2 linked regions of the Cricetulus griseus genome follow. The protein of the gene in region 2 purifies or fractionates together with the protein of the main gene of each other region. This does not show direct contact. Links are inferred from orthologs where the notes say so. Each region holds a gene or a part of one and is shown on either strand. Other genes may lie near its edges. The genes, in order: Fbxw7 and Sox9.

What was found.
Region 1: the proteins of Sox9 (region 2) and Fbxw7 purify together in Homo sapiens (affinity purification with western blotting; 4 studies listed by BioGRID and IntAct, with this or other methods). This does not show direct contact. The link is inferred for Cricetulus griseus from reciprocal best matches to the Homo sapiens genes SOX9 and FBXW7.

The regions. Positions count from the first base shown.
Region 1 is NW_023276806.1:69,439,606-69,443,418, reverse strand, and holds part of Fbxw7 (F-box/WD repeat-containing protein 7), read left to right. Parts: intron 1-1,364; coding exon 1,365-1,546; intron 1,547-3,292; coding exon 3,293-3,518; intron 3,519-3,813. UniProt on the Homo sapiens protein: Substrate recognition component of a SCF (SKP1-CUL1-F-box protein) E3 ubiquitin-protein ligase complex which mediates the ubiquitination and subsequent proteasomal degradation of target proteins.
Region 2 is NC_048600.1:125,500,855-125,505,318, forward strand, and holds Sox9 (transcription factor SOX-9), read left to right. Parts: upstream 1-1,523; coding exon 1,524-1,954; intron 1,955-2,735; coding exon 2,736-2,989; intron 2,990-3,572; coding exon 3,573-4,417; downstream 4,418-4,464. UniProt on the Homo sapiens protein: Transcription factor that plays a key role in chondrocytes differentiation and skeletal development.

The sequences.
Region 1 (3,813 bases), on a different chromosome or scaffold from region 2:
TCACAGTAAAGTGGGGTGTTGGATCCTCAGCTGTTTTGATAACAAATATTTGATAACAAATAACAAAATGTCTTTAGAAATGTGGTCCTTCTTCCTGTGGTTATGTCACTTTGGCATGGTGGCAGTGGTGTTTTCTTCATTTAAATAGTTTGTTGTCTTTTTCCTTAGATATTCTAAGATTTCTCAGATGCCCCTCTTCTCTGAGCTTCCGTCTCACCTTTCCCATCATGGCTCCCTAACGTCTTCCAAAATATGACTGAGTGATTTGTAATTTTCCTTGTAGACTGCTTTGTTGCTGAGCTATCTATAATTTAGAAATCAAGTAAATCCTGTTAATCTAAAGTTGTCTCAGACTTGAATGGTAAGGAAATGAAGCAGGGGAGGTTTTAAATACTGGGTTGAAGAGCCAAGCAGTAGCTTTATTTCACATAGCATTCCTTAATGAGTCGCTAGTGAATATTGACTTTATCTGTCCAAAGGAGAATTTTTTTTATGAATTAAGTAATCAATCATTTAAAAGGTAAAAGAAGACAGTATGTTTTAAAAAAAAATGTCTTTCGCTGTGTTGTTCCTTGGACAAGACTCTTATAAATACCCAAAGCAGATGTTAAAATTTTCAGAGCAGCTACACGTTTCCAGGATATAATACTAGTTTTGGACTTATCTCAGAGTCTCAGTGTCTGTCTTTACATGTCTAGAGTAGCATGGCCAGCCCCTAACTACTGCCTTAAGGCAGACGGATGCACTGTGGTATGTGGCCACACCCAACTCTCTTGGCATTCTTGCCTTGGTTCTCCTCCATGGGAGGCACCCTTTTGCAGTTTTAATATTATTTAATCATAGTGGTCAGGCTAGAGCTGTTGAACTTGCTTGTATTACATTATGTTTGCTTTCTGCCATGTCTTATGCTTTGTATCAAATGATTCTTCTTAAATTTCTTTACTTCATTTTATTATTTTGTGTTTGTGTGTGTGTACCACATACATGCCAGGTGCCCTCAGAGACCAGAAGAGGGCATCAGATTCCCTGGCATTGGAGTTATAGGTGGTTGTAAGGCACTAGGTGCTGGGACTCAAACCCCAGGTCCCTGAAAGAGCAGCTGGCGCTCTTAGCCACTGAACCATCATCTCTCCAGTCCTGTCTGTTTCATATCATGTTTGCTATGCATGCATAAGCATATACTGCTACAAAATAAACAATTCGGTAATAATGGTGTCATGTAGCATCGATGTGTAGATGCTTTCCTGGTGATCTAATAAAGTTGAATATGTAAGACTTTATTCCAGATTCTAATGAGATGTTAGTATATTTTTTGACTTGCTTTCATTTCTACCTAAAATTAATCATCTGAAGTGTTTTTTCAGTGTCTAAGAACATTAGTGGGACACACAGGTGGAGTATGGTCATCACAGATGAGAGACAATATCATCATTAGTGGATCCACTGACCGGACTCTCAAAGTATGGAATGCTGAGACTGGAGAGTGTATACATACTTTATATGGGCACACTTCCACTGTACGCTGTATGCATCTCCATGAAAAAAGGTAAAGGAAATCCCATTATGATGGGGACTTTCACGTCTGTTACTTGTGAATTTGAGATTCAAATAGTGCTAATGAGCTCCAAAAGTTGATACTAATGATTACAGTGCAATATTCCTTAGTTAGTAAAATCAGGTTATATTGGCTTAAAATTGGAGGATTGTCTTAAAATTTTCTTTTTCATTCAATGACTGTACAATCATTTTTCTTGACGCTCAGCTCTCTAATCCCCTTTGTTGTTCGTTTGGTGACTCATCATCTTCAAAAAAATCATTTTCTTTCTTGACAGTCATATGTAGGAGCAACAAATTCAGTCACTTCGACATTAGCCTGAATCCTTGAGTGACCCACCCACTTTGCCCCCACTCCATCATGTCCCTAGATCTGAACAAACACTGAGGTCCAGGGCTTTCACTTATTTTCTCATTACCTGTCATCTGAACTATGCAGAGATCTCAGGTCCTGACTTTTGCACAGCTGGCAGAGAGCTCTGGTATTAGGATTGTTTCAGCCACGTCTGGCCTGCTAGTCCATTCTTTCCTGGTGCCTCTGCCTGGTGCTTTGTATCTTACCTGCAGTGTCTTCTGCTACAATCATGTCCTTCTGTTGACACATCTTCATTGCACCTAGCTAAAAAATTGTGTTTTCTACTTCATTTGTCAAAAAATATTCTTTTGGCCTGATATGAGAACATGCTGCTAATCTTTGCACTGGAAAGATAGAGACAGGAGAATCCTTGAAGTCACAGCTTTTTAGAGGAGACCCTTCCTCTAAAAGAATGTATCTTAGAAGAATCATTATAACGAGTTCACAGCAGAGCAGCCATGACCTGTAACTCTGTCCATGCTGCTTTATCTATTAAGAACTGTTTTGGTAAGTAGGCTGTACCCTGCAGGTGTGATATATATACAGGGACTCCTTTTTACTTTCAATTTGAACCACTTTGCACAGTGTGTTGTGTGATTAAAATTTAAGGGATGAGTTTCAAGAGACCTTGCATTTCCATGTTGGTTGCATTCATTTTCCCACACTTAATCATTCCACTCTTCCAAATACAGAGACTGACTTTTATCTCTTGGGAATGTGACATAAAGGTACCTGGTTAGCAATCCAGAGGTAACTGCATGGTTGTATCACTCCTCTTTTTAGAACAGTATAATTTTATAACATTGAGCCAATTTCTGTTACTTCTATAGGAATATCTTTAAAAATCTGTATCAGCACATATCTGAAACCGCATTCCCTGCATGGGAAGTATAAGAAAACAGCCCTAGTTTTCTGAGACCCAAATTAAATGTAAAATTTTTTTTTTGAAAAATAATCATATTGAAAAGTTTACTTTCTCAAATAGGTAATAGGAGTTCATAATTGAAATGTAATGGAAGGACAAAGATATTAAAAACAGTTCTGGATTGTTCTAAGTTTAATACCACCTAATTCTGCATTGAGGGTTGAGCTGCGTGTACCATGCTACCATTTCACTTCTAATCAAGATAAATTGTATGTATGGAGAGCTGCTTGCTTCTTGAATAGGGTGAGGTTGTTTCCTTAAGTCATGGACTTCTAGTCTTCCTCACTTCCCATTCCAGGCAGAGTAACTTGAATTTATATCTGAAGGCATTAGGGTAGTGATTCTTGTTAAAGTGTTTCTGTTCTGTTTATGAAGAGAAAGCGAACACTGTTTTGCAGGCTATGTGCATTTGTGCTCTTCAGAATTCTAATACCTTGTTTTCTGTTTCCTCTCTGCAGAGTTGTTAGCGGTTCTCGAGATGCCACTCTTAGGGTTTGGGATATTGAGACTGGCCAGTGTTTACATGTCTTGATGGGTCATGTAGCAGCGGTCCGCTGTGTACAATATGATGGCAGGAGGGTTGTTAGTGGAGCATATGATTTTATGGTGAAGGTGTGGGACCCAGAGACTGAGACCTGTCTACACACGTTGCAGGGACACACTAATAGAGTCTATTCATTACAGGTAAGAAGCTGTCTCACCCATCCACACCCCTAGATGCTCTGGTGATGACTCATAAGATTTTTCTTTTCAGCTAGTTACCGTCAAGTTGCTGTTTATATATACCTTAAAATTACCATGAAGAAAACAATAAATTTCAAAATCATTTAGCTGATTTAATGGCTTCGATTTCTATGATCCATTTTCTCTTTAAAATGCAAATATTTGTCTTAAAACCTGATACTTCAGGGCTGTAAATTTTGCCACATTAATTAATAGATAATCTCATAGGAGAATAACTTGGATCTTAATAAACTCC
Region 2 (4,464 bases):
ACCTGCGCTCAGGTCTAAAGGGACACGACTAAAGTCCAGACGCCTAGCGCTGTGCCCTCCCAGATAAAGGAAGGCCCAAATGAGAGAGTCGCAGGACTCCGCCAAACTGCCTGTTTTGTCTGAAGTTTTCCAGTCCAAGTCACGGGCCTCCTGGGCCTCGCTGCCCGAGCTGCCACCTTTGCAAACTTCACCCTCAACGCCGGAGCAGTTTTGCAAACTCCGGTGGTGACCAAGCTGACGTTTGTGACTCACTCAGACAGGAGGCAAGAAGCAAAACTCTAAAGTAATAACCCTAACACCGAGGGGCGTCCGAGTGCTGGAGGGGCCGGGAAAAGGACTTGTCAGTCCAAGGTCGGCGTGGCCCACGGGACCCGCCAAGAGAACCAGGGACTGCCGGGTCGCCGCCAGCCTTCGCTGGCACTCAGCTTTGGTTTTCATTGATTCCCACTGCGAGAGCGCTGCAGAATCTCCAGCCACCACACCAGCCTCGGAGAACCAGAGCGCGTTAATCTATTTATATGGATTATTACAGAAGAACAGCGGGCGTTGAGTCACCCAAACATTTGCTTCCAAAAGACCATTTCTAAGCACTTTTGGAAGCGGCAGGCTCCGGGCGCAGAAGCCGAGCGAGCGAGCTCCGCGTTGAGGCGCGGCTGTTGCAGTTTCCACTGCAGTAAACGCCAGCGAAGCCCCGGGTACCGCGGAGACAGCTTGGAAAAGTAGTGGGGTGTGTGTGTTGGGGGGGGGGCGTCCTAGTCTAGACACGCGCGCGCGCGTGCACACACACACACACACACACACACACACACACACACACACCTATTCACACTGAGACGGTTCCAAAACTGTGACATTCCTAGAGTAGAGAGCAAACTTACACACTCGGACGTCCCGGATCCCCCGCCTGCCCCGCGGTGCCCCCCCCCCAAAGTCCCCTCACCCCACCATCCACCACCCCCACCCCCCGGCTGCGCTCCCCTCCCTTCTCCACCCCTCGTGTCTCGTCACCCAACCCGGAGCCACAATCCTCCTCCCCCTTCTCCAAAATGCGGTCCAATCAGCTACTTGCCAACCCTGATGACTGCGGAGCCGCGATTGGTCGGAGGTCTCTAAGGTGAAGGGGGAGTATTTATTAAAGAGACCCTGGGCTGGGAGTCGGAGAGCCGTGAGCGCTGCTCGGAACTGCCTGGAAACTTCAGTGGGACGACAACTTTACCAATTTCAGTCCAGGGACTTTTCTTTGCAAGAGAGACCGGGTGCAAGTGGCCCCGCTTACGTTCTCTGTCTTCCCTCCCTTCTCCTCCTCTCCGATTCGCCTTCCCCGGGTTTGGAGCGGGCAGCTGAGCAGCGGCCACCTAGCCAGTGCCTCTGCTAAGTGCCCACCGCTGCCTCCCGGTGACGCGCCAACCTCCCCGGGAGCCGCTCGCTCGGCGTCCGCGTCCGGGCAGCAGAGGGAAGAGGAGCCCCAGCCGCCGCGGCTTCTCGCCTTTCCCAGCCACCCGCCCCCTGCCCCGGGCTCGCGTATGAATCTCCTGGACCCCTTCATGAAGATGACCGACGAGCAGGAAAAGGGCCTGTCCGGCGCTCCCAGCCCCACCATGTCCGAGGACTCGGCTGGCTCGCCCTGCCCCTCGGGCTCGGGCTCCGACACGGAGAACACGCGGCCCCAGGAGAATACGTTCCCCAAGGGCGAGCCGGATCTGAAGAAGGAGAGCGAAGAAGACAAGTTTCCCGTGTGCATCCGCGAGGCAGTCAGCCAGGTGCTGAAGGGCTACGACTGGACGCTGGTGCCCATGCCGGTACGCGTCAACGGCTCCAGCAAGAACAAGCCACATGTCAAGCGGCCCATGAACGCCTTTATGGTGTGGGCTCAGGCTGCGCGCAGGAAACTGGCAGACCAGTACCCGCATCTGCACAATGCGGAGCTCAGCAAGACCCTGGGCAAACTCTGGAGGTGAGCGCGCTTGATCATCGGGTGGGCTCGGTGGCTACTGGGATGGGGGGCTGCACTCACCCAACCCGGCCCGCCTCCCAGAGCCAAGGAGTTGCCTCCTGTAATCTCTGAGGAGTCGGGATGCGCAGTTGGGGCGGATAGGGGAGGTTGGCTCAGAGTTTGAGAAAGTTCTGGGGATTGCTCTTGGCCAAGGCGCGCGGGGGGGGGGGGGGGGGGAGTTGAGCCGCACCAATGTGATTGCTTTTAAGAACCAATGGGGGGAGTGGAGGGGTGTGCCAACCTGGTCCCCTCGAAAGGAACAATTTGAGGAAACACACACACACACCAAGCTGCTCTCTCCTGGGAAGAAGGGATAAAGGGAAAGTTGGGCTGGAGGTGACCCAGGCAGGAATTAGGGAAAAGCTACTGAGAATCGGTAGGGGCGTGGACGGACTCAGTGAGCTTCTTGCGTTGTAAGTGGGTTTTCAGAAAGGTTTTACAGGGTGTTGGGAGGGGGTGGACCGCTCCGGTAGCAAAGGCGTTTAGAGCGCCTCGGCAGGGAGCTGTTTTCATCTTCAGGGTTTCCAAAATAGGAGGCCAGGGGAGGGGGCGGGGCGAAGAGTGACCGTTCAGGTCGACTCCAAGCACTTAGAAGAAAGAAAGGAAAGTTCTGAGCCTCGGTGGAGGATGGCAAGCAGAATAGAGGGAGGAGGGGAAGTGCGCGAAGGAGGGGTGGGGACATGACCGCTCCTGGGGTTTCACTGATCCCCCTCTCCCTCTTTTCTTCCGCCCCTCTTCCCAGACTGCTGAACGAGAGCGAGAAGAGACCCTTCGTGGAAGAGGCAGAGCGGCTGCGCGTACAGCACAAGAAAGACCACCCGGATTACAAGTACCAGCCACGGCGGAGAAAGTCCGTGAAGAACGGGCAGGCAGAAGCCGAGGAGGCCACGGAACAGACTCACATCTCTCCTAACGCCATCTTCAAGGCGCTGCAAGCCGACTCCCCGCACTCCTCCTCCGGGATGAGCGAGGTGCACTCCCCGGGAGAGCACTCCGGTAAGTAAAGGGCAAGAGATCTACTAGGCCTAGCCACTCTGGGCCCCACCGGGCACACCCTTAACACCCCCTCCCCCATTCCCCAGGATCTGGGTGGGGACTTTGAGGTCCCTGGGGTGGGGAAACAGCATTCCCTGCACTCCCTCTCTGTCCAGGACCCACCGAAATAGACGGGCGCACCACACACACACACACACACACCACACACGCCCCTCAACCTGTGATTCCTGAACTGGATTCTTTATTGCAAGGTAACATGTATTAATGACTTCACGAAACTTGCCCACTTTTCTCTTTGCGGCTCACCCCCAAAGCACACACTCTTCAACAGGTAGCAATTTAGCCTTCCGGACCCTTGGGACCTCAGACCACTCCGCTGATAAAAGGAGCTTGCCTAGTGTGTACCTGCGGGTTAATCATTCGGCGACTTATCGTTAGTACAGCCCGCCTTCTGCTCCGGCTCGGGTCCTAATGACACCTTAGCAACCAGGGAGATTCCCCGGGGGACTCCTAAGACCAGAGGTTTTGCACAGCCCTTGTTGATTTTTTACGGTTTGTCTTTCTTCCCTTTTATTGCCTGCAGGGCAATCTCAGGGTCCACCGACCCCACCCACCACTCCCAAAACCGACGTGCAAGCTGGCAAAGTTGACCTGAAGCGAGAGGGGCGCCCTCTGGCAGAGGGGGGCAGACAGCCCCCCATTGACTTCCGCGACGTGGACATCGGTGAGCTGAGCAGCGACGTCATCTCCAACATCGAGACCTTTGACGTCACTGAGTTTGACCAATACTTGCCGCCCAACGGCCACCCAGGGGTGCCGGCCACCCACGGCCAGGTCACCTACACCGGCAGCTACGGCATAAGCAGCACCGCCGCCACCCCTGCGACCGCGGGCCACGTGTGGCTGTCAAAGCAGCAGGCGCCGCCCCCTCCCCCGCAGCAGCCCCCGCAGGCCTCGCAAGCCCCGCAGGCGCCTCCGCAGCAGCAGCAGGCACCCCCGCAGCAGCAGCAGGCACCCCCGCAGCAGCAGCAGGCACACACGCTCACTACACTGAGCAGCGAGCCGGGCCAGTCCCAGAGAACACACATCAAGACGGAGCAGCTGAGCCCCAGCCACTACAGCGAGCAGCAGCAGCCCTCCCCGCAGCAGATCGCCTACAGTCCCTTCAACCTTCCGCACTACAGCCCCTCCTACCCGCCCATCACGCGCTCGCAGTACGACTACACAGACCACCAGAACTCCGGCTCCTACTACAGCCACGCGGCCGGCCAGGGCTCGGGGCTCTACTCCACATTCACCTACATGAACCCCGCGCAGCGCCCCATGTACACCCCCATCGCTGACACCTCGGGAGTCCCTTCCATCCCGCAAACCCACAGCCCGCAGCACTGGGAACAACCGGTCTACACACAGCTCACCAGACCCTGAGGAGCCCTTGAAGAGGGATGGAGAGGGAGCTGATCATTAAAAAAGAA